7 linked regions of the Macaca fascicularis genome follow. The protein of the gene in region 6 purifies or fractionates together with the protein of the main gene of each other region. This does not show direct contact. Links are inferred from orthologs where the notes say so. Each region holds a gene or a part of one and is shown on either strand. Other genes may lie near its edges.

Region 1 (2,537 bases), on a different chromosome or scaffold from region 6:
AGAGACAGGGTTTCGCCATGTTGGCCAGGCTGGTCTAGAACTCCTGACCTCAGGTGATTCACCTGCCTCGGCCTCCCAAAGTGCTGGGATTATAGGCATGAGCCACCATGCCCAGCCTGAAAAGTAATTTTAAAAAAGAGAAAAAAGTTTAAAATAAGATATTACCGTTTATTATTCATACATTAGAATCACATACCTCCTCTTTAATAGCATAATAAAGCCAAGACTTCACAGAGCCCTGCTGCTCATATTCCTTTTAAAAGTTAATTAGAAGGCTAGGCGTGGTGGCTCACGCCTGTAATCCCAGTACTTTGGGAGGCTGAGGCGGGCAGATCACAATGTCAAGAGATCAAGATCATCCTGGCCAACATGGCGAAACCCCATCTCTACTAAAAATTCAAAAATTAGCTGGGCATGGTGGCACACACCTGTAATTCCAGCTACTCAGGAGGCTGAGGCAGGAGAATTGCTTGAACCTGGGAGGCAGAGGTTGCAGTGAGCCAAGATCACACCACTGCACTCCAGCCTGGGCGACAGAGTGAGACTGTCTCAAAAAAAAAGTTAATTAGAAAATATGGCTTAATTGTTGAGCAATAGTGAAGCTTGAGTCATTAAAGCAAAAGTTCTCAAGTGGAAACATTAGTTATTCTAAAGGATATATTAGACACACGAAATGTTAGGATGACTTCACATCTATTCAGTGCACTGAATTAGTAATTTCGTTTCCAATGGGCAGGTGAATATTTCCTGTAAAACTAAGACCATATCTTGAAGGATTTTTTCCCCTTTCTTATAAGACTGTATCTTAAAGGACTTTTTTCCCTTCCCTTATAGAGACCTTGTACACAGACAGACGGCTAGTGCAGTGGTACAGCACATGTCACTTGGGGTTTATGGATTTGGTTGTGAAGATTCGCTGAATCACTTGTTGAACTATGTATGGCCCAATGTGTTTGAGACATCTCCTCATGTAATTCAGGCAGTTATGGGAGCCCTAGAGGGTCTGAGAGTTGCTATTGGACCATGTAGAATGTTGCAGTATTGTTTACAGGTAAGTTAAAGTTGTTTTTTTTTTTAATCGGTGAATTTTTTTTTTTTTAATAATACTTTAAGTTCTGGGATACATGTGCTGAATGTGCAGGTTTGTTACATAGGTATACATGTGGCATGGTGGTTTGCTGCACGTATCAACCCATCATCTAGGTTTTAAGCCCCGCGTGCATTAGGTGTTTGTCCTAATGCTCTCCTTCCCCTTTCCCCCCACTCCCTGTAAGTTAAAGGTTTTTAAAAGATTACTTAGCAAGAAAAGTAGTGTGTTGAATTAAGTTACTTTTCCTGATTATCAACAGGGTATATTGTGCCATATGGTAGAACAATTGTGTGGTGACGGGGGAGTGCGTTTTGTCTCTTCCGTTTTAGCTTTGTATAATTACTAGGCCCCCCCCACTCCCCAAGGGAAATAATTTTGAATCATATCTTTATGATTTGTTAATTTTGTTAAGGTTATGTGTGTTCTTGAAAATTGAAATAAGGTAACTGTTCAATATTATTTTAGGGTCTGTTTCATCCAGCCCGGAAAGTCAGAGATGTATATTGGAAAATTTACAACTCTATCTACATTGGTTCCCAGGATGCTCTCATAGCACATTACCCAAGAATCTACAACGATGATAAGAACACCTATATCCGTTATGAACTTGACTATATCTTATAATTTTATTGTTTATTTTGTGTTTAATGCACAGCTACTTCACACCTTAAACTTGCTTTGATTTGGTGATGTAAACTTTTAAACATTGCAGATCAGTGTAGAACTGGTCATAGAGGAAGAGCTAGAAATCCAGTAGCATGATTTTTAAATAACCTGTCTTTGTTTTTGATGTTAAGCAGTAAATGCCAGTAGTGACCAAGAACACAGTGATTACATACACTATACTGGAGGGATTTCATTTTTAATTCATCTTTATGAAGATTTAGAACTCATTCCTTGTGTTTAAAGGGAATGTTTAATTGAGAAATAAACATTTGTGTACAAAATGCTAATTTGTGTGTGTTTTTTGAACATGACTTGTAAAATGCGGAACTTTGATAAAGTATTGGTTTATGTGGAATAAGTGGCTTAATTTCATTTTCTGTCACCTGGTTAATAGAAAGTAGTTAGCCAAATAAAAATTATATGAAGTGATGGCATCTTTGTCAAAATTCCATTGTTCTGTTAATAATGACAGCAAGAACAGTAGCCTCAGGAGGTGTTCCCCTCAAACTAGCACAACCATTCCATCATCATAGAAAAGTAGCACTTTTGCTAAACTGTCTTGAATATTTTGTACTTACATAGCGCCTTTCATCTCTTGATTTCTCAAAATGCTTTATGAACATGTTTAAAGGAAGTGGTTTAAGTCTTGTCCAACGCTTGAAAGTCTGCTGTGTTTAACAAGTGAGAAATTTAACTTTACTTCAAAACTGCTTTCTGCCTATTAGGAGTGAGGATACCTAAGTAATGCTGATAGAACAGATTCCTTATGTACTGTGATAAT
Region 2 (4,110 bases), on a different chromosome or scaffold from region 6:
AAAAAAAAAAAAAAAAAAAAAAAATTAAAAAAAAAATAAATAACTAGTAACTGAGACCAGGCACGGTGGCTCACGCCTGTAATCCCAGCACTTTGGGAGGCCAAGGTGGGCGGATCACGAAGTCAGGAGATCCAGACCATCCTGGCTAACACGGTGAAACCCCGTTTCTACTAAAAATACAAAAAATTAGCCGGGCGTGGTGGCAGGCACCTGTAGTCCCAGCTACTCCGGAGGCTGAGGCAGGAGAATGGCGTGAACCCAGGAGGCGGAGCTTGCAGTGAGCTGAGATCGCACCACTGCACTCTAGCCTGGGCGACAGAGCAAGACTCCCTCTCAAATAAATAAATAAATAAATAGAAACTGGCACATGACCTGCATCATCAAAGGGCACCTACCACCGCCTGTGCCCATTAAGTTAATTTAACTGGCCAGTAACACTTCTCAAATGCGGGTTCACCAAGGGTGGCAAATCCCACTGAAGATACACCTTTCTGTTATCTATGAACTTCTGCTGTGCAACTCCCTCGCCTCCAGCTGCCCTTCCCTACGCAATGCCAGAATGTTCTTGTAACTTCTGGCTATGTGCCAGTTTTTCTCAGGTGTGCTCTGATGCACCTAGGAGAAGACCTTTGTCATCCCATTTCACAAATAAAAACACAGAGGTCCAGGAGCCTAAGTCATTCATTCCTATTTACCCCGAAGGTGCAGAGCTAAGATCCCCATCTGCAGTTTTAAGTCCTCCAATACTCAATACTGGGTGCTAAGTCTTTATGAACATCATCTTATTAACAATAAAAACAGTAAACAAAGTAACAAAGGCTGACACGTGCTGACTGGTTGGTGCCAAGCCCCTGATATACACTTTGCCATTTAATTCTCCAGCATTATGAGGGTGCTACCACTATCCCCTTGCTAAAGATAAAGAAACCAATGCATGAAGAGGATACAACATTTGCCCAAAGTCAGAGCTGATAAATGGTGCGGGTTAAGTGCCAATCTTCAACCACTACTCACTGAATTTTCACAAAAATTCTACAAAAGGGGTACTATCAAACCCTACTTTTTTTTTGAGACAGTCTTCTTCTGTTGCCCAGGCTGGAGTGCAGTGGCACGATCTCAGCTCATTGCAACCTCCACCTCCTGGGTTCAAGTGATTCTCGTGCCTCAGCCTCCCAAGGAGCTGGAATTACAGGCATCATCATGCCCGGCTAATTTTTGTTATTTTTAGTAGAGACGGGGTTTCACCATGTTGGTCAGGCTGGTCTTGAACTCTTCACCTCAGGTGATCCACCTGCCTCAGCCTCCCAAAGTACTGGGATTACACGCGTGAGCCACCGCACTGGGCCACAACCCCACTTTAAAAAAAATTTTTTTTTTTTTGAGAGACAAAGTCCTGCTCTGTCACCCAGGCCGGAGTATAGCGGCACAATCACAGAGCACTTCAGTCCCCAACTCCTGGGCTCAAGCAATCCTCCCATCTCAGCCTCCTGAGTAGCTAGAACTACTGCTGCACTCGACCACACCCGGCACCCGGCTGCAACCCCATTTAAAACAGCGAAACTGAGGATCACAAAGATTAAGCCCCTCGCTTAAATCACACAGCTAGCAAAATAGTCAGAGGCTGGACTCGCAAATCCAACCCCTTGCTCCCCAGAACCCAAACCATTCCTGGCCTGCTCAGTGAACTCACCTCAAACTCTCGAATGTACGGCGCAATGCCACAGTAAGGTTGATTGTGGTGTTTTTCATGTGGCAGTTTCTCCAGGGGTGGCAGGTATGGGATAGGGTCACGGGGGGCAAAGAGGGCCAGAAGGTTGGGCGGCAGGAACTGGGTCATCTTGCCAAGTCTGAGAGCAGAAGCAGGACAGCCTTAGGTTAGATCGGGTCTGCAGAGAAAGCCCCTATTACTCCTTGACTCTCAAAGTAAGAAAGAAAGGAGAAAAGTCTCGGAATTAAAACAGGCTTTGTAACGGCAGAGAACGGTCCTGTGTTACGGAGAAAAGGGTAAAAGTCTTGTTGGAGGTGGAGGTGAAAGGCCGGTAAAAGACACAAAAATAAAGGCTGAAAAAGGGTTCCTGAGTAGTGAAGTCTCAGAGTCCTGAGACACGAGCTGTGGGGCGGAGAGGTTGCCTGGGAATTTCTGGGGGAATCAAAGACCCGAGGAGGGAGGCCCAGGGCAGTTGTGGCTGCTCGTCCCGTACCGTGGACAGCAAATTACTAGACGCAGTTTGCAAGGGCCTGGGGGTCGGAAGTCTCCGAGCAAAGAAAGAGAAACATAAGGAGCGAAGCCCCAAAACCAAGCGATTGTGGGTAACAGATCTGGGCCCCGCAAAGGCGAAAGGAATTATGGGTAAGGGTCCAGGACAACATAGAAAAACGAAAAAGAAAAAAGGCTACACACCGCAAGGGCCTGTGGGTAGGGAACCGCGAGGGCGATGTGGGGACCGGGCGTGGGTGCCCAGAGAACTCGGGGTCCGGGAAAGGGATGCAAAAGTGACCTGTGGCGAGGACGCGGGAAGGGGGCCTGGCCGCGGGGAAGAGGCCCGGGCCCACCGCTGGGGCTTCTGGGTAGCGGCCCCGCTCCCCGTCGGGCCACTCAGTCACACTCACTCGCCGCGCAGCGCCCTCCTAGCTCTGGTGTCTGTCCGGAGGCTCGCGGCGGCTGCGGCGGCCCCTCAGCAACAACAGCTCCTGCTTGGGCTTCCACTCTGGGGGCGTCCGCGTCCGTCTGATTCCGTCGCCCGCGCAGCGAGCGCACCAGGCCGCTGCTCAGGAACCCGCGCGGCCTCGGCTAGCGACTGGAGCAGGGGGTGGGTCCCGGCCGCAAATCCCTCCGCCGTCTGCACTGCGCACGCGCCGCGCGAGGCCAAGCTCAACCCACACGCTAGGACCCGGCGCCGCCGCGGCAACAGCGCACGCGCGAGGTCACCACCCCGCCTTCGGGCACCTTGAGTATTTCAACCGCCGGGAGCTGGCGTCTGCACTGCGCGCGCGCGCTTAGCCCCAAGCCGCCCCTCCACCTCTCGCTTTCCGCTCCAAACCGCCTATGTCCGCGAGGCTCTCCCTGATGCTCCGCCCCTTTCCAATCACACTTCCCGGATCTTGCGCGCATGCGTTCTGCGTAGTGAACTATAATGTACCTCTCCGCCGACTAGCAAAGAGTCCCTAAGTGAATGGCCTGATTGCGTTGATGTTTAATCTAGTCAATCGATAACTGTTCATCGAGCATCTCGTGTGTGCTAGGCACTGTCTGGGCTTTGGGGCTACAGCACGTGATTAAAGCAAAGTCTTCTCCTGCTAGGGCTTACACTGTACTGGGAGAGACAATAAAAGCATTTAACTGAGTAAAGATAATTTGAGGCCGGGCGCGGTGGATCACGCATGTAATCCCAGAACTTTGGGAAGCTGAGGCGGTCGGATCACCTGAGGTCAGGAGTGCGAGACCAACCTGACCAACATGGTGAAAGCCCGTCTCTACTAAAAATACAAAAATTATCCGGGCGTGGCGGTGCGCGCCTGTAATCCCAGTTACTCGGGAGGCTGTGGCAGGAGAATCGCTTGAACTTGGGAGGCTGAGTTTGCAGTGAGCCGAGGTCGTGCCATTGCACTCCAGCCTGGGCGACAGAGCGACTCCGTCTCAAAAATAAATAAATATAAAAAATAAAAGATATTTTGAGATAGTGGCCAGCATAATGAAGAACGATGGAGCAGAATAAAGGGATGGGAAATGAGAGCGAGTCTATTTTGATAATGGAAGCCTCTTCTGAAGAGGCAACATTTGAACAAAAACCAGATAGAAGCGAGATCTGGAGGCGGGGGGGAGCGGGGGGTGGTGTTTAACAGTTTAAGTGCAAAGGTCCTGAGCGAGGACCAGATGGCAGAAATCTCAGGTTGTTAGCCATGAGATCAGAGAGCTGGCACTTAAGTTATTTGAAGCCCTGTTGTTAAGTATCTTAAGTTTTGTGGATAGATTCAATAGCCTGTTTAATAACTAAATTACTGCAAAATTCAATTGACTAATTTTATGTTTCAATAAAAAGGCCAAGTGCAGTGGCTCACACCTGTAATCCCAGCACTTTGGGAGGCCAAGGCGGGTGGATCACTTGAGGA
Region 3 (3,500 bases), on a different chromosome or scaffold from region 6:
GAGATCGCGTCACTGCACTCCAGCCTGGCAACAGAGCAAGACTCCATCTCAAAAAAATAAAAAAAACTGGAGAATTAGTGAAATAAATGTGACCCAGGAAGATACTAATTTCTAGTAAGATAGGAAATCCTGCATATTTTACTAAGAAAGGATTAATCATAATCACATCAATTACAATCAAATAATCATATAGACTCTGTAAGATTATAGAGCACATATTTAAAACACACACCCTAAAACCTACTGAACTGCTTTTTCCTAGTTTAGGACTTACAGCATTTGCATTTTAAACAAGCTTCCCACGTATTTCTAATATGTATCCGTTAGTCTTGAGTTTGAGAACCAGAGACCAATATACTCCCTTAACCTTTCTGGATGAAATTCAGGCTCAGAGAGATGCAAATGACTTGCCTAGCAAGTTAATGACAGAGTTTTTACTTTTTTTTTTTTTTTCAACAGAGTCTCGCTCTGTTGCCCAGACCGGAGTGCAGTGGTGCAATCTCAGCTCACTGCAACCTCCACGTCCTGGGTTTAAGCGATTCTCATGTCTCAGCCTTCCGAGAAGCTGGGATTACTGGCGCCCACCACCAGGCCCAGCTAATTTTTGTATTTTTAGTAGAGACAGGGTTTCACCATGTTGGCCAAGCAGGTCTCCAACTCCTGACTTCAGGTGATCCGCCTGCCTCGGCCTCCCAAAGTGCTGGGATTACAGGTGTGAGCCACTGTGCCCGGCCTAATGACAGAGTTTTCTTATTCAATGTGCTTTTGCCCTTTATTATTAAACACTATTTCCTAAGCCTTTCTCTTGATATGTACCTTTCCCACCTCCAATGCCCGTCACTATTTAGGGCCATTTCACACCAGCATTTGGAGCTGACTGGCAAGAGTACCTCTAAGGTTTTGCATTTCTGGAAATCAATGAATGCTTTAAACTAAACATGACACATGATATTCTTAGTTATAAAATCATAGTTGCATTTACTTAGATGAAAAGCAAATTTTGTATCTAATGCCTTATTAGGAAGTCTTACTACACTACTACACCCCAGGGTTAACAGCCTTTTACTTTTCCTAATCCTCTTTTTCAGACTTCACTAGATTTTTAAATGTCTTTGAACCTTTTCCAACGGCAAGAATTGGAAATCTTATAACAAAAATATTTTCAGATAGCTGAATCAGTCATTACCACTTAATGAGGCAGGGCTTGCCAAAAGTCCTAAGAATTACTAAATAGTGTCACAACTGAATATAAATGATCATATTATTATATCTGGAACCATATTAAAATCCCAATTTGAAAGAGCAATAGTCTTATAGGTAAATAAATGGGATTGTCTCTTACACACTGCTTCAAAGAAAAGCAACCCATTATTTTAAACATGAACATCTTCACTAGATTTTTACAAGTCTTTGCAATTATCCCAAAGCAAAACTTGAAAATCTTTATATCCTACAGTTTCTCAACCTTGGCACCACTGACATTTGGATGGAATAATTCTTTGTTGTGGGGGACCATCTGCGCATAGCAGAATATTTAGTACAATAATAGCACCCTTGGCATCTAACTGCTAGATGCCAATAATATCCTTCCTCTTTCAACCAAAATGTCACTGCCAAATGTGGGGGAATGGTGAGGCTGGTGGAGGTCTATGAAAAATATATTCCCCCTACACCCACTGATAACCACTATTGTAACAAAACAGAACAGTTCTATCTTAAATTCTCAGAAGCACAGGGTATACTGATCCAAGTCCCTAAGGGTGCCTTTTAAAAAGAGAAAGGCAGAATAAACAGTGAAACTTTAGAGGAAAGTTAGAAATACATATCCATAATAAATGAAGAATTCTAAGTGTAAATATATAGAAATATATACAGACACACACAAACGTCCATTATGAAAACTTCAACTGTCCAAGTTGCTGTGCTGAAATTTTGCTTAATAAACTACTATCCAAAATGAGTCAATGGCCTCAATGTTACATTGATTATTATCAAACACTCTTTTTTAAAATATAATTTGCTATCAAAGGAGGCATTAGATTAAATTACACCATACATACCTTCAAATTTGGCATTCACCATAACATACAAATGCTCTCCTAGACAGTCACTTCGGTCCCTGGATAATGCATGTAAACTAATAGTGGGGTATTCCAGTGAGAATCCTAATCCAGAACCATCTAACCAAGACAGGCGGCTGAAAAACATGTTTTAAGTAGATTAGTTTTAGAAAGTAAATCCTAATGTAATATCACAAAGTACATAAAAGTTCAGCTTGGACACCTTTATGCATATAAATAAATTCAAGCTTACTTTTTTAGAAATGTTCATAAAATAAGAAAATTCAGGCCAGGCGCGGTGGCTCAAGCCTGTAATCCCAGCACTTTGGGAGGCCGAGACGGGCGGATCACGAGGTTAGGAGATCGAGACCATCCTGGCTAACACGGTGAAACCCCGTCTCTACTAAAAAATACAAAAAACTAGCCGGGCGAGGTGGCCGGCGCCTGTAGTCCCAGCTACTCGGGAGGCTGAGGCAGGAGAATGGCGTGAACCCGGGAGGCAGAGCTTGCAGGGAGCTGAGATCCGGCCACTGCACTCCAGCCTGGGTGACAGAGCGAGACTCCGTCTCAAAAAAAAAAAAAAAAAAAAAGAAAATTCAGTAGTGGAAATCGAATTTTCTTTAAGATCAATTCTGTTAAAGTCTCTTTCCCTCTAGCTATAAATTCAAACAGACTTGAAATTCCATTTTCCTCAGTCACATGTATGTTTCTATGACTTTCAAGCTTCTTCTTTTTTGATATGTCTTCAAATACCCTCTTTGCTTTTGCAAATCCTCCCCTCTTCCATGAGGCCTCCCTTCAACTACACCAGTCCATAAAGACCTCTTCTTTTTCTGATTTGCAAATTTTAGTACTTAACTCTGTGGTAGTGAGTCTTATATGTGCCCTTATGGAATATGAGCTATTTGACAGCAGGACTCGTCACATTCCTTTATTTAACATTCTTCAAAACCATTAACAAAGAGCTCAGGAGGTAAGTATGCAATAAATCCTTGGTAATCATTCGTTTCTCCATGAATCCTACACTAAAAGACATAAATGGGTGTCATCACACTCACCGCAACTCAGGGAATATTTATTACCTTGAGAGACAGACTCCCTGAAGCCTCTCATTTATTCAACATCTTTAAGAGAAAGCCACAGAAAAGCTAGGCCTAGTTTTCCCTCAAATGTGGTCAAATGCAAATATTTTATTGGTGTACCAAAGGAAGCACATCACCAAAATCAGTATGTTGAGCTTTCAGTAGAGGCTAGCTAATTTTCTGATAATATTTCATCCATCTGTACCACTTAGCAGAAAAAAAGTAAAAAATCCTGAAGAAGCTAAAAAAAAAAATGTTAATGCAATACAGTGGTTGCCTAGGGCTAGAAGGAAATAGGAATGTCTGCTAATGGGTACCAGGTTCTTTTTGGGGTGAAGAAAATATTCTAAAATTGTGG
Region 4 (3,257 bases), on a different chromosome or scaffold from region 6:
CGCCCGGCCTATTATTCTTAACACTGCTTTTGAGCCATGGTCACACCACTGCACTCCAGCCTGGGTGACAGAGCAACATCCCATCTCAAAAAAAAAAAAAAAAAAAAAAAGACTGCCAAGAGCCTTTACTATGCAAAGAAACAAAGACAGGAAGGGAGAGAAGAAGGAAGGAAAGGAGAAAGAGAAGGCAAGGCAAGGGGAGAAGGGAGGAAATGGAGAAAACTTTTTGCATCTAATTTTGACTTTCCCAAATTTATTCAACCGCAGAACTCTTTTCTACATCCCTTGAAAGTAATATTCTAAGGAACACACTTTACAAACACTGAAAGGGAAGCCAGGCAGGAGGAGACAAGGGACAGAAGGAGGGATAGTCCCAAACAAGGACAAACTTGAGACTTGGCAGGTGCAGGAGTTTCCCAAGCCAGACTCCCTCCTGGCGCACCCCAGAATTCTCAGCCGGCCTGCCCCAAAGAAAAGTATGGTGCCTCACGCCTGTAATGCCAGCACTCTGGGAGGCCGAGGCAGGCGGATCACCTGAGGTTGGGAGTTCGAGACCAGCCTAACCAACGTGGAGGAACCCCGTCTCTACTAAAAATACAAAATTAGCCGGGCATGGTGGCGCATGCCTGTAATTCCAGCTACTTGGGAGGCTGAGGCAGGAGAATCACTTGAACCCGGGAGGCGGAGGTTGCAGTGAGCCAAGATGGTGCCATTGCACTCCAGCCTGGGCAACAAGAGCAAAATGTTGTCTCAAAAAAAAGAAAAAAAGAAAGATACCGGTTACTGAGGGAGATGTCACCGTGGAGACCTGAAGGCCGATGACAGAACTTGACCACAGGGCGCCGGGCGGAGGGCACAGTTTGGACTCGATACACCCCGGGGACACAGCCCCGGAGAATGGATCCCACCAGCTCCAGCATTGCTGCCCCTTCTGCTTTCTCCCGCTTTGGGGCCTCTGCTAGTTCCAGGGCCTTCCCCAGGCCCCCCTCTCCCCTATCCTCCAGCAGTGGTGAGGCTGGAGGCAGAGACTGGGGAGAAGCAAGGGTCTCAGAGGCCAAGGCAGAGTCTGGAGTTTGGGGTGCCAGGGAGGAGGAAGGGGTTTCAAAGTCCAGGGCTTCAGAATCCTGGGGAGAAGCTGGAGATTGTGAATCTGGAGGGGAGGCTGGGGTGCAGGCCAGGGCTTGAGGGTCCAGTGGCGAAGCCAGGGCCGAGTCCAGCGATGGAGATTCTGGAGCCTTTGGGACTGGCTGTGGACAGAAATGAGCTGAGTGAAATGCTTCTGCTGTCCCCTAAGCAGAGAACATCTCTATCCCCAAGATAATATCACTTCCAGCTTATTCAGCTCTATGCTAAGGGCTTTATACATATTAACTCATTTAATCTTCACACCAACCTTTTTTTTTAAAGATAACCTTTTAATTCTATAAAATAAAAGGTCTACCTCTGCAAAAAATGTCATTATCGCGAAAGACAAAAACAGAGGAACTATTACAAACTAAAGAAGACTAAACAGAAACCATAACAGTCCATTGTCAGGACAGCTGACCAAATTAGAGTATGGAATGTAAAGCCTAAAGGTTTACATTTGTATCAATGTAACATTTTCTCAACTTGACAATGGTACTGTGGTTATACACTAGAATACCTTTGTTCTTGCATAACACACATTGAAATATTGAGGGGTAAAGGAATGTGATACATGCAACCTCTCAGATGATTCAGAAAATACAAATAAAGAAAGTGTGTGTGTAGAGAACGACAAAAAGAATGATAAAACATTTAAAAACTCCTGTTGCGGGGGCAGCAGGCATATAGGAACTCTACTTTCTGCTCACTTTTGCTGTGAATCTAACACTGCTCTAAAAAATAAAGTCTTTTTTTTTTTTTTGAGATGGAGTCTCAATCTGTCATCCAGGCTGGAGTGCAGTGGCACGATCTTGGTTCACTGCAAGCTCCGCCTCCCGGGTTCAAGCTGTCTCTCCTGCCTCAGCCTCCGGAGTAGCTGGGATTACAGGCGCCCGCCACCATACCCGGCTGATTTTTCTATTTTTAGTAGAGACGGCGTTTCACCATGTTAGCCAGGCTGGTCTCAAATTCCTGACCTCAGGTGATCCACCTGCCTTGGCCTTCCAAAGTGCTGGGATCACACAGGCGTGAACCACTGCGCCCCGCCAAGTCTATTTTTTGAAAATAATAATAGGCTGGGCATGCGGGCTTATACCTGTAATCCCAGCAATTTGGGAGAATGAGGCAGGAGGATTCCTTGAGCCTAGGAGTTCAAGACCAGCCTGGGCAACATAGTGAGACCCTATTTCTAAGTAATAATAATTATCTTTTTCTATTCCTAAAACAGAATCTGTACATTAGATGTTAGAAAATATAGGTGCTGGGCGCGGTGGCTCACGCCTATAATCCCAGCACTTTGGGAGGCCGAGGCGGGCGGATCACAAGGTCAGGAGATCGAGACCACGGTGAAACCCCGTCTCTACTAAAAATACAAAAAATTAGCCGGGCACGGTTGTGGGCGCCTGTAGTCCCAGCTACTCGGGAGGCTGAGGCAGGAGAATGGCGTGAACCCGGGAGGCGGAGCTTGCAGTGAGCCGAGATCCGGCCACTGCACTCCAGCCTGGGCGACAGAGCGAGACTCCGTCTCAAAAAAAAAAAAAAAAAAAAATAGAAAACACAGGTAAGTGGCCGGGCATGGTAGCTCATTCCTGTAATCCCAGCACTTTGGGAGGCCAAGGTGGGTGGATCACTTTAGGCCAAGAGTCCAAGACCAGCCTGGCCTACATGGAGAAACCCCATCTCTACTAAAAATACAGAAAATTAGCCAGGCATGGTGGTGTGTGCCTGTATTCCGAGCTACTTGGGAGACTGAGGCACGAGAATCACTTGAACCCAGAAGGTGGAGGTTGCAGTGAGTAGAGATCACAGCACTGTACTCCAGCTTGGGTGACAGAGTTAGACTGTGTCTCAAAAAAACAAAAAAAAAAAAGAAAGAAAGAAAATACACAGAGCAAAACTAAAAGGACCTTATTGTATAATTTTTAATATATTTTTTCCAAAATAAAATCATATTGTACACACCATTTTGAAAATTTTTTTTGTTACGACTGCCAGGTATCCATGTCAATTCATTTTTTCTTTCTTTTTTTTTTTTTTTTTGAGGAGGAGTCTCCCTCTGTCACCCAGGTTGTAGTGCAGTGGTGCAATCTTGGCTCACTGCAACCTCTGCCTCCTGCATTCAAGGTGATTCT
Region 5 (3,997 bases), on a different chromosome or scaffold from region 6:
GCCAAATATGGATTTTCAATCTAGATTTTTATACCCCACCAAACTTCTAACTATGAGGGTAAATAAACTCATTTTCAGGCAATCAAAGACTTCCCCCATCCCCGAAAAAAATCATCTATTTCTTCCAAAGCTCCCAGAAGTTCTGCTCTGACAGCAGGAAGAGGAAAAGATGGCCACACTGGGAACAGAGGTCAGCACAGGGCAGCAAGGACAGGAAGGTTTGGGACACCAGCTCCACCCAGGCAGAGCACAATCAGTCCCATTTGGAGGAGGAGGATACGGGAGTCTTGGAGGGCAGTGGGGAGGGGGAGATCAATTCATTTAAACCTGTGCAAAACACAACTGATAGGTGTGAGATGCTGGAGCTTTGTGGGGAAATAAACAAACAGTAGGGAAAAGAAAGGCTAATGGTAAAAACAAAGTTAATTAGCTTTAAGGGAAAATAGAATGCTACAACAAAAGCCCAGTTGAACACATTACTTGTTTTAGCAGCCAACTAAATATATATACATATACATGTGTGTATGTGTGTGTGTGTGTGTATATATATACATATATACACATATATATACATATATATACATATATACACATATATACATATATATACATATATACATATATACATATATATATATATATTTTTTTTTTTTGAGACGGAGTCTCGCTCTGTCGCCCAGGCTGGAGTGCAGTGGTGCGATCTCGGCTCACTGCAAGCTCCGCCTCCCGGGTTCACGCCATTCTCCTGCCTCAGCCTCCCGAGTAGCTGGGACTACAGGCGCCCAAAACCGCGCCCGGCTAATTTTTTGTATTTTTAGTAGAGACGGGGTTTCACCGTGGTCTCGATCTCCTGACCTTGTGATCCGCCCGCCTCGGCCTCCCAAAGTGCTGGGATTACAGGCGTGAGCCACCGCGCCCGGCCATATACATATATTTTTTTGAGATGGAATCTCGCTGTGTCTCCCAAGCTGGAGTGCAGTGGCGTGATCTCAGCTCACTGCAAGCTCCGCCTCCTGGGTTCACGCCATTCTCCTGCCTCAGCCTCCCGAGTAGCTGGGACTACAGGTGCCCGCCACCACACCTGGCTGAATTTTTGTATTTTTAGTAGAGACGGGGTTTCACCATGTTAGCCAGGGTGGTCTCAATCTCCTGACCTCGTGATCCACCTGCCTTGGCCTCCCAAAGTGCTGGGATTATAGGCGTGAGCCACTGCGCCCGGCCCTGAGCAGCCAACAACATTTTGCATCTTATTTAAAAAATACAACCAATGACCAACTGTGCTCACGACAGAAACTCATTCAGGATATGGAAGGCGAAGGTGCAGTGGGTGGATAGGAGGGAGAAAATCTCAACAGCCGTGACAGGAAATCAGCAGATGATGTCTACAAATTGATAAATCCAGGAAGAAGTATGTTATTTACTAAAGTAAAGATCAGGGAACAGAGTGGAAAAACCCCATCTCTACAAAAAAATAGAAAAAAGAGCCGGGTGTAGTGGCTAATGCCTGTAATCCTACCACTTTGGGAGGCTGTGGGGGGGTGGGGGGGGGAAGGATCACCTGAGGTCAAGAGTTCGAGACCAGCCTGGGCAACATGGCCAAACTCCGTCTCTACAAAAAATACAAAAATTAGCCGGGCATGGTGGTGAGCACCTGTGGTCCCAGCGACTTGGGAGGTTGAGGCAGGAGGACGGCTTGAGCATGGGAGTTCGAGGCTGCAGTAAGCTGTGATGGCACCACTGCACTCACTCCATCCTGGGTGACAGAGCAAGACACTGTCTCAAAACAAACAGAGAGACAAAAAACCGACGACGACCAGGGGAAATGAACTTAAGAATTGAGGAAAGGTGGCCTCCGAGACCTGGGGCTGGACCAGCGGGAAGGAATTAGTTTTTGGTGGCAACACCGTTCTCTCGTTAAACCCAGCAAACAACCTCTTTTCCAAAGCTCCCCCTGGCTGTTTGGTGTTCTCCAAGGATACACACGAACAACGGTCACAGCCATGTGCACCTGCAAAATGGGGCCAGCTAACGTTTTCTGGTCCCCTTTGGCATGGTGTTGAAGCTGTCACTCCCGTTTTAAGGGGAATGACGCTTACAGGAGTTACATCACAGAGCCCCAGTGAACTCACAGGTATAGATTAGCATGCAGAAGCGTTCTCGGCTACAAGGAAGGAGGCCCAAACCATTTCAGCCGCGATCCCGATCTGATCCCAACGAGTCTTAGTTGTTTCTTTTTCATTTTGTGAAACAGGGTCTTGCTCTGTTGCCCAGGCTGGAGTGCAATTGCGATCATGGCTCACTGCAGCCTCGACATTCCGGGATCAAGCGATCCTCTCGAGTAGCTGGGGCTACAGGTACAACCACCACTCCTGGCTAATTTTTAAAATTTTTTTGTAGAGATGGGGTCTCGCTGTGTTGTCCAGCCTGGTCTCGAACTCCTGGCCTCAAGCGATCCTCCCGCCAAGCCCTCCCTGAGCGGTGAGATTACAGGCGTGAGCCCCCGCGCGCGGCCTCCCAACAGGAGTTTGGAAATAGAGTTCCGAGGGGGCCCGACCCTCCGGGCCCGCCCAACGCGGGACCTACAGGATGCACAAGGCCGGACGCTCACGGGAGGAGGGAGGGGAGCGACGCCGCCGCCCGCCCCTCGGCCTGCGGCCTGTCGCAAGCTCCTCTCTCCTACGTCCGCTCTTCCCCAGGGAACCCCCGGTCCGAGTCGGCCGCCACCCTCAACCGGCTCCACTCCTCACCAGAGCCTGAGGGCGCGTTATCTCCTCGATCCGCCACCGCCACGACTTCGTTCGGCGCACGCGCGTCGCGGTCAAAGAAAGCACTTCCGGGGCAAATGGGGCGGGCCCTCTGGTGTGCGCATGCCCGGCCCGCCCAGCGGCGCAAGTCAGAGGGTCAGGAGGCGCGAGGGAAAGGGCTGGAGGGGGCGGGGCTGAACGCCCGGCCTGGAAGGCAAACCGCGCGTGCGCACAACGCCCCCAACGAACCCTTGGTTCGCTGCGGCCGCGCTGGGCTAACTTTCGCGAGGGGCGGCTGACATTCTTCGGGAGACGTTATCGCTCCCTCCGCCTGCGCCTGGCCGCTCTAGGAAGGGGTGCCAGCCATCGCGGGGGTGCCTTGATGCTGTTCCACCTTTGTCTGGTTTATTTCAATTTAATGGTTATGTAACGACTGTCCGTCTCCGCTACCAACTCGTGCACCGCCCCCCCGCCCCCCGCCCCAGGTCGCCAGCGCCACGCACTGGAGACTGGCGGCATGGCCGGCCCAAAGTGCGCAGGCGCACTAGCCCCGGCGGTGCTTCCGTGTCTGCGCCCTGAGACCTTTTTGGCGCCGGCCCCGGCGTGAACGGGGACGGCGGCCGGGAGGGCGCGGTCCAGGTTCCCGTTCCCCGCGAAGCCATGCGGTACAACGAGAAGGAGCTGCAGGCGCTGTCCCGGCAGCCGGCCGAGATGGCGGCCGAGCTGGGCATGAGGGGCCCCAAGAAGGGCAGCGGTGAGCGGGACCCGGGAGACCGGGACAGTGCCAGGGGCGGAAGGCTGGGGCCGCAGTCCGGGCGCGGGTGCCGGAGGCCGGATTCCGGGTCGGGGCGCCGGGTGCGGGAGGCCGGGGTCCGGGCGGGGGCTGCCTGCGCCCCTGAGCGCGCGCTGTGCCCGCAGTGCTGAAGCGGCGGCTGGTGAAGCTGGTGGTGAATTTCCTCTTCTACTTCCGGACAGACGAGGCCGAGGTAGGGGCGTCGAGGGCGCGCGGGCGGGTCCCAGGCTGGGGCCCCGCGGAGGCCGGGTGCTCACTGCTCCGTCCCGGCGCCCGTGTCTCCTCCAGCCCGTCGGAGCCCTGCTGCTGGAGCGGTGCAGAGTCATCCGGGAAGAGCCCGGCGCCTTCTCTATCAGTGAGTGGGGCTAGGGAAGCCAGCGGCGCCTCCCGCAGCCCGGGGCACCAGCAGCGCTGCAACTGTCCCCTCCCCAGGCGCTCAAGGCCTCCTCTATGTCCCCAG
Region 6 (3,932 bases):
AAAATGGTTAGAGTGGCAAAATTGTAATGTATATTTTACCACAATAAAAAGAAAATTAATTACAAAAAAACCCCCACCAAAACACATGGCTGAATCATTTACAGAAACTCATTTGACAGACATACAGTCAGTTCAATTTCTTCGGCAGATGTGTCTTTCCCCTGAAGGAATGAATTTCCTCAATAACTTTGGTGTTGTGCCTTTAGCATCATTCATTAAAAGACTCATGAATTTCACTTGAAAACTTTCTTTCAGGGCTAAATGATGAGAAATGTTTTGTTTTCTCCAGCAAAGTAGTGTGTTTCCCTTACAGTATTATTATGAATTAAATGTCTGAGCTCTTCTTACTTTAACTACTAGGAATAAAATCTGTGGCTGAATTCTGGTTTAAGTCCATGTCTTGTACCTAGTATATCATAGTATCCTCCCTGGCTTTGACTTTATTTTTTAATTTTGCCGTACATTTGTCAATTTAATTGTATGTATTCTTATTAGTCAGACTAAACCTTTGAGCAATAAGGTGAAGCAAACTAAATGCAATGTTATGACCTTTACAGCTCTTTAGCTTACCTGCATGTTCATGTAGCCATCTACAGATACCAGATAGCCCTTGTACTCCATTCCCCACTTAAGTTTCACCATCACTGGCTTTCCTGTTAGTCCATTGAGGAAAGGTTTGGGATTGAGGGGTAAACTCTGCACAAAGAACAAAAAAGGATCCAATTAATTATTTTTCCTCCCACCACCAACTCTCTTCTACTAAATACCAATATTTTGTGGTATGCAAATGAAGAAAACTCTTGACTCATTATTTTAGTACACAATTTTCACTTTTATTTATTGGAGAGTACCAGGGAAATTTAAATATCCAGTTAGTCAGTATCACCTTTAACCCATCAAAACAAAATACTCACTATTCACTTAAGATAACACCGACTACATACATCACTTACTGTTCTGAGCTCTAAAGAAACAAAGATAAAGGCACTTTAAAAAAAAAAAATGCGGGCCAGAAAGGGTGGCTCATATCTGTAATTCCAGCATTCTGGAAGGCCAAGGCAGGGGGATCACTTGAGGCCAGAATTTCAAGACCAGCCCAGGCAACATAGTGAGACCACCTTCTCTACCAAAAATAGTCAGATGTGGTGGTGCACACCTGTAGTCCCGGCTACTAGGGAACAGAGCAAGACCTTGTCATAAATAAATAACAGAGTCCCTGTCAAGAAGTTGGAGATGGGGAGGGGGGCTCCTCACATACAAATAATTATACTGCATATTGCAACATAATAAGAGGAGATATACTAGGCACAAGGGTACCGAAGCAATCCAGGGAAAAAAGGAAAGGTTGCCTGAAATAAGTTAACCTCAGTTTTAAAGAATGAGAATTTATTTCCAGAGCGGGAAAAAATCCTGTTCCAGGCAAGGCTAGCTACTTATGTAAAAGGAGGGAAGAGTGAAGCAACAAGGTGATTTTGGGGACATACAATTCAGCATTGTCAGTCAAAGTCCCAAATATAAGACTACAGAAGGAAGCAGAGGGCAGATGACGCTTGACAGTCTTTAACTGTGGAAGCTAGGGCTAGGTCCTAAATGACTTTGTCACTAGCACTGCCTCTTATAGAAATCACTTAAAGTTTGTTCAGCAAACCATTAACATCTCCAGTGAATTCGGTTTTTGCCTTTTTCTGCTCACTCACCAGTCAAAGAAAGAACAGAACTAAGAAACTTGGCTACTAACCCCCTCTAACATAAACATATTCGGAGTGACTTGATACGGCGATTACTCCAATAACCTAATGGGTCTCCAGTTTTCATTCTCCAATTTATTATCCACCACAGCAACATGATTTTTTAAAGTGCACATCAAATTGTCATATTTCTGCTTAAAATGATTCAATGGCTTCCAACTCAATCATTTTCAATTGATTTGGAGTACAATCAAAACCTCCCAATACAGCCTAAGAGGTCCTGTCCAACGCCTGCTCCTCCGACACCATCTCGTAACCACTCTTCCTGCAAGTGGCTGTACCTTTTTGTCAATTTCTCCAACTGACCAAGCTTTCTTTCCGGCCGCAGGTCTTATGCGCCTATTCCCTGTGCTCGGTACACTCCTCCTCCTGCTCTTTAAAGGGTCTATTTCATGACACTTAGGCTTCAGGTTAAATTCCACCTCCTAGGGAGGCCATCTCTGACTAAGCCTCTAAATGTCTAACGCGCACCCTCACAGCCTCCTGTCTGCATTCTTCTTAGCACTTATTACTTGCAATTGCATATTTGTTATTTTTTGACTGTCTGTCTTCCCCAACCAACTGAGTTAAACTAGAGCATGGCCGTATCATTACTTTCATGCAATGAAAGTGAATTTTGGAGTGTGGTTAAGTGGGAAGTGCAAATTCTCTTTGAGTTTTACCCCGACCCTGTAGCCACAAACAAGAATATCCCAAGCCCGGATTCAAACAAAGAGGAGAAGGCACGGGTACTCCTAGAAAAAGAAAGGCATCGGGAGGAGCACGCGCCTCAGAAATCCTAAAAGCAGAGTGAAAGAAGCTGGCGACCGGGTGCGCGGCGCCTCACGCGGATGAATGGGAAACGCGCGAAGCAACCACTAGGCCCCGCGAGGTGGTCTCCCTCCTTCTCTTTCTCCCCGCTTCTCCCGCCGTTCTCGTTCTCCTTACCATCGTAACCACGGCCGAATATTGCAGGCTACTCACTGCCGACCAGGCTGCCGCTTGTCCCTCGTGACTACAGCAGGTACCCCAGGTCCCGAGCCGCTGAATTTCAAGAAAAATGGCCGCCAAACAGGAGTGTGACCTTTCACCTCCCACCACGGCCCTTCCTGCCTCTGTGATTGGACGAAAAGAGATGCGCGCTGATTGGAGGAGATGGTTGGACCAGTATCTCCTGGCAACCAGCAGCGGCTTGAGTTTGCGCCTGGCCGGCTGCGCGCGGGTCTTGGGAAACCCGCTCTGAGGAGCAAGGTGAGGCAGCCAAGGACTGGAGGCAGGCCGGTGTTGTAAATGTGCGGTCTGGGAGAGGCTGTGTAACGGATGTGACTTCTCCCCAACTTGGTTAATGGGGATTTTACTTTGTCTTTTTACACCCGTGAGAATGTTCAGGATCCCAGAGTTCCTTCCTCACTCTTCCAACAGGTTCCATGATTTGGGGGCGCCTCTGCCGCAGGCCGTTTCTACCTGAGTATTCTCTCTTCTGCAACACCCATTTCAACCCCTTTTAAAGGACTTCGGGGGTAGCCAGACAAGACTAGGGGCGGTGAAACGCACCGAAGGGAGTCGGATACAGAATTTATTTTAAACGAGGTCAGGTTGTGTCTGGGATATGATGTCATGTCCCCCCACCCCCCACGACCCCGCCGGCCCCATCTTTCTTTTGCATCGCCAGCAGAGACTGGCACGGCCTTCTTACGTGCATTTGAAATTACCTAAGGGCGTAAGCAATATTTCCGCTGTCACGGATTAAAACTTTCGACGTAACGGTGTTATCTGAATCTCACTGGTTTTTGTCGTAATCCTAGTGAGTTCGGCTCACTCTGATCTGAAATGCTAAATGCAGTTCTTGGAGAACACGCCCTTTGGGAAGTAACGCTTTTTTGCGGCCCTGAAGAGATGGATTTGAGGTTGAGGATGAAATGTTGGTTGTTGAGGCACTGTGGAGCAGTGGGCAAGACTTTGGAGAGGGCCTGCATTCGGAACCTGCGTCTATCAGGCGCAGCCGGTGTTGGGCAGTGTCTTAACCCTCAGGGCCACTGTTTCCACGGCAGGAACGCGGCTTTAAAAACGGAACCATCCTCAGCGTGGTTGCGAGAATTTAACCTAAAACGGGGCTTGGCCTTGTAAAAGCTCAGTGTTTCACATAAGTGTTGAACACTGACAAGACAGTCATTGTCAGTGTAGTTTTTACCAAACAGTTATTAG
Region 7 (2,901 bases), on a different chromosome or scaffold from region 6:
TTTGAGTACTTGAATAATGAGAGGAAATCACTGTTTATCATGCAATTTATGCTGATTAACTTTTTCTAGTTACATTAACAGTTTCACAAAGAGAAAGTTAACTTTTTCTTTAACTTGTGTTTTTGGTTTATTTCAAAAACTTTCCAGAATTGGAGTTGGTGATTCATGTTTTTTGCCTCTAGAGGGAGTAATGACACTAGGGAATAATGAAACCAAGAAAGACTGAGATTTCAAGTGTATTATTTTATTATTATTATTTCAAGTGTATTTTTTTGCTATCAAATTTAGATCAGATTACAATGGGAAATCAACTTTTTTTAAATGAAGAAAATGTATCCATATGTAGGAACTTTTTAATGACAGGAGACAGTACTAAAAATTTAGAGAAATCACAGTTGCAAAGAAATTGACTTTTTTTTGTTAAGGAACTTTTAGAATGTTACAACAACCTGAATTTACAGATGGTTTGAGTTCCCAAGTGTGTCACAGTCTGCTGTTTGAAACTCAGGCTGTATTTTTCTCATAGAAATGTCTGTGAAGGATAGTTAATTTCCCATCCAGGGAGATTGTACTCTTAGATAATGTTTATATCATCCTAAATAGCATGGACTCAATACAAATACAACTTATCTCAAATATTTCCATGTAAGAGATGATGCTAATTGTTTTCTGTATCTAGTGAAATGTTTTTCTAGGTCCCTTATTACCTCAATCTTCTATTCCTTTTTTCTCTTCGGAGATGATTCCAAGACATGCATTTCTTGCTAAGAACTCTAAGAACTGAGTAATTTAGAAAAATATCTTTTTGTGAGAGGCTCTTTGGAGGTAAGGTATATACCTTACTGTTTGAAATTGCTGTTGAAACCCAATAACTAATATTTATTTATTTATTTATTTATTTATTTATTTAATGGAGATAGGGTTTCTCTCTGTCACGCGGACTGGAATGCAGTAGCATGATCATAGCTCACTGCAACCTCAAATTCCTGGGCTCAAGTGATCCTCCTGCCTCAGCTTTCTAAAATGCTAGGATCTCAAATCCAATTCAGAAAGCCCAGAGTAAACATATTTTATCTGCTTGATGCCTGTATCTTGCCATGCTTTCCTTTCTTTCCTTGGACAGCCAGAGAATTCCAACTAATTCTAGCTTTGGATTTACCATGCTTCACAAACATGAAAGGTTTCTCTTTTAAGTGATAAACCTATTGAATATATTAATAGATAAAATAGATAAAAATCTCTGAACAGACAAGGACTTAGTCCTTCCCAAAGGAAGATGCAGGCAGCAATTATCAAACACCACCTTTGTGTGAAATCCTTGTGGGTGGAATCTCTGACATAAGGAATCTTGTCTCTTAGCCCAAGGCAAGAACGAAGAGAGGAAGTCTGCTGGTCAATACAGAGAGCAGGGCAACATTAAGCAACATCCCTAAGAATTATGTTTAAAAAATGAACTGTATTATGTTAATTCCTGGCCTTTGTCTAGCAGACACACTCTACCCTTCCATGGCTTCCCCAGGCACATGTCATGGTAACATTTGGGCCAGGCAAACCCTACCTACTTTATTTCCTCATAAAGTGGAGAAGTTTACAAATTAACTAATAATTAAATAAACCCTAAGTATAAAATTGATGTTAGATTTAATAATGGGATTCATCTCTCTTTTTTTTTTTTGTTTTTGTTTTTGTTTTTGTTTTTGAGACAGAGTCTTGCTCTGTCACCCAGGCTGGAGTGCAATGGCATGATCTCGGCTCACTGCAACCTCTGCCTGCCTCCCGGGTTCAAGCGATTCTCCTGCCTCAACCTCCCAAGTAGTTGGGACTACAGGCGCACACCACCACGCCCAGCTAATTTTTGTATTTTTAGTAGAGACGGGTTTCACCATGTTGGCCAGGATGGCTCGATCTCTTGACCTCTTGATCCGCCCACCTCGGCCTCCCAAAGTGCTGGGATTACAGGCATGAGCCACCGCGCCTGGCCCTCATCTCTCCTTAGTTGGCAGAGTACTTAAAACTCCAATTGTCTTTTTATATTTTGTTCTATAATGTCTAGGAAGGGAAACGTTCCTCATTGTAACAGTCACTTCTAATAGTTTATTTTGGTAGATAGGTAGGTAGATGGATAGATAGGTCGATAGGAATGAGGTATTTATAGGTCATACTTCTAAAACTTATATAAGAATAGAATTGTAAGTATTTGAATAATGAACTGTTTGTAAATATGAAAAACTATTAGGTAATATTGTTATGTGGAAAATGTTTTAAATATAACTAAATTCAGTTTATTAGCATTTTTGGTGGTTTTGGCTAAATACAATAAAAATGTATCACAGATTTATTTGCAAATATTCTAAGTAATTATAGTATCTGTGTATTTAATAAATGGAAGATTGGGCCCTAACTGGTTTCTAAATATTCGATTTTTTTAATTTGTGTGAAATTTTTCTGAATTAAGTTAATATAGTGGAAATCTAATCTAATGGTAGCTCTCGTATAAGTAGAGAACATTAGTCCAGGTTTAGGAACCAGAAGCATGAGAGAGTAAAAAGAAGGCTAAGAACTGGATTGGGCTTCTGGTACATGTTGGAATAGTAGACTCCAAGCTAGTTACTTGAAAATAGCCTTTACAGCTCATAGCACTCCACAGTGCGTTCATTCCTACCACACTAACAATACCCTGCATTCATACACTATACATCTACAGCATAGGAGCTGGCATACATGCTTAGGTAGGGTGTACAGTGTCCTCTTAGCCATTTCATTGACTCATCATGAGATTCTGGAGCAGTATGTTTCTGAAGCACCTGATCTCATTGGTGGCTAAACTATGGAGGTATGGAGATTTGCCTGGTCATTCTGCCGCACAGCGACAGTCTTATTACACCTTGCTGTCTCCCACTG

The links.
Region 1: the proteins of SNRPF (region 6) and SF3B1 purify together in Homo sapiens (co-immunoprecipitation; 3 studies listed by BioGRID and IntAct, counting the BioPlex papers as one, with this or other methods). This does not show direct contact. The link is inferred for Macaca fascicularis from reciprocal best matches to the Homo sapiens genes SNRPF and SF3B1.
Region 2: the proteins of SNRPF (region 6) and SNRNP70 purify together in Homo sapiens (affinity purification with mass spectrometry; 5 studies listed by BioGRID and IntAct, counting the BioPlex papers as one, with this or other methods). This does not show direct contact. The link is inferred for Macaca fascicularis from reciprocal best matches to the Homo sapiens genes SNRPF and SNRNP70.
Region 3: the proteins of SNRPF (region 6) and CLNS1A purify together in Homo sapiens (affinity purification with mass spectrometry; 3 studies listed by BioGRID and IntAct, counting the BioPlex papers as one, with this or other methods). This does not show direct contact. The link is inferred for Macaca fascicularis from reciprocal best matches to the Homo sapiens genes SNRPF and CLNS1A.
Region 4: the proteins of SNRPF (region 6) and TUT1 purify together in Homo sapiens (co-immunoprecipitation; 3 studies listed by BioGRID and IntAct, counting the BioPlex papers as one, with this or other methods). This does not show direct contact. The link is inferred for Macaca fascicularis from reciprocal best matches to the Homo sapiens genes SNRPF and TUT1.
Region 5: the proteins of SNRPF (region 6) and SF3A2 purify together in Homo sapiens (affinity purification with mass spectrometry; 4 studies listed by BioGRID and IntAct, counting the BioPlex papers as one, with this or other methods). This does not show direct contact. The link is inferred for Macaca fascicularis from reciprocal best matches to the Homo sapiens genes SNRPF and SF3A2.
Region 7: the proteins of SNRPF (region 6) and TGS1 purify together in Homo sapiens (co-immunoprecipitation; 3 studies listed by BioGRID and IntAct, counting the BioPlex papers as one, with this or other methods). This does not show direct contact. The link is inferred for Macaca fascicularis from reciprocal best matches to the Homo sapiens genes SNRPF and TGS1.

What each region holds. Positions count from the first base shown.
Region 1 is NC_088386.1:93,002,273-93,004,809, reverse strand, and holds the end of SF3B1 (splicing factor 3B subunit 1), read left to right. Parts: intron 1-834; coding exon 835-1,051; intron 1,052-1,555; coding exon 1,556-1,714; 3' UTR 1,715-2,037; downstream 2,038-2,537. UniProt on the Homo sapiens protein: Component of the 17S U2 SnRNP complex of the spliceosome, a large ribonucleoprotein complex that removes introns from transcribed pre-mRNAs.
Region 2 is NC_088393.1:57,061,431-57,065,540, reverse strand, and holds the start of SNRNP70 (U1 small nuclear ribonucleoprotein 70 kDa), read right to left. Parts: upstream 2,801-4,110; 5' UTR 2,607-2,800; exon of another isoform or gene 2,402-2,606; intron 1,848-2,401; 5' UTR 1,838-1,847; coding exon 1,691-1,837; intron 1-1,690. UniProt on the Homo sapiens protein: Component of the spliceosomal U1 snRNP, which is essential for recognition of the pre-mRNA 5' splice-site and the subsequent assembly of the spliceosome. SNRNP70 binds to the loop I region of U1-snRNA.
Region 3 is NC_088388.1:76,526,136-76,529,635, forward strand, and holds part of CLNS1A (methylosome subunit pICln), read right to left. Parts: intron 2,198-3,500; coding exon 2,061-2,197; intron 1-2,060. UniProt on the Homo sapiens protein: Involved in both the assembly of spliceosomal snRNPs and the methylation of Sm proteins.
Region 4 is NC_088388.1:11,478,944-11,482,200, reverse strand, and holds part of TUT1 (speckle targeted PIP5K1A-regulated poly(A) polymerase), read right to left. Parts: intron 1,248-3,257; coding exon 778-1,247; intron 1-777. UniProt on the Homo sapiens protein: Poly(A) polymerase that creates the 3'-poly(A) tail of specific pre-mRNAs. Localizes to nuclear speckles together with PIP5K1A and mediates polyadenylation of a select set of mRNAs, such as HMOX1.
Region 5 is NC_088393.1:2,893,132-2,897,128, reverse strand, and holds the start of SF3A2 (splicing factor 3A subunit 2), read right to left. Parts: upstream 2,801-3,997; 5' UTR 2,130-2,800; intron 1-2,129. Other genes in the region: PLEKHJ1 (pleckstrin homology domain-containing family J member 1), read left to right, coding at 3,405-3,498, 3,663-3,730, 3,826-3,892. UniProt on the Homo sapiens protein: Component of the 17S U2 SnRNP complex of the spliceosome, a large ribonucleoprotein complex that removes introns from transcribed pre-mRNAs.
Region 6 is NC_088385.1:102,892,111-102,896,042, reverse strand, and holds the start of SNRPF (small nuclear ribonucleoprotein F), read right to left. Parts: upstream 2,801-3,932; 5' UTR 2,679-2,800; coding exon 2,676-2,678; intron 697-2,675; coding exon 571-696; intron 162-570; coding exon of another isoform or gene 99-161; exon of another isoform or gene 1-98. UniProt on the Homo sapiens protein: Plays a role in pre-mRNA splicing as a core component of the spliceosomal U1, U2, U4 and U5 small nuclear ribonucleoproteins (snRNPs), the building blocks of the spliceosome.
Region 7 is NC_088382.1:65,784,996-65,787,896, forward strand, and holds the end of TGS1 (trimethylguanosine synthase), read left to right. Parts: intron 1-1,706; coding exon 1,707-1,913; 3' UTR 1,914-2,401; downstream 2,402-2,901. UniProt on the Homo sapiens protein: Catalyzes the 2 serial methylation steps for the conversion of the 7-monomethylguanosine (m(7)G) caps of snRNAs and snoRNAs to a 2,2,7-trimethylguanosine (m(2,2,7)G) cap structure.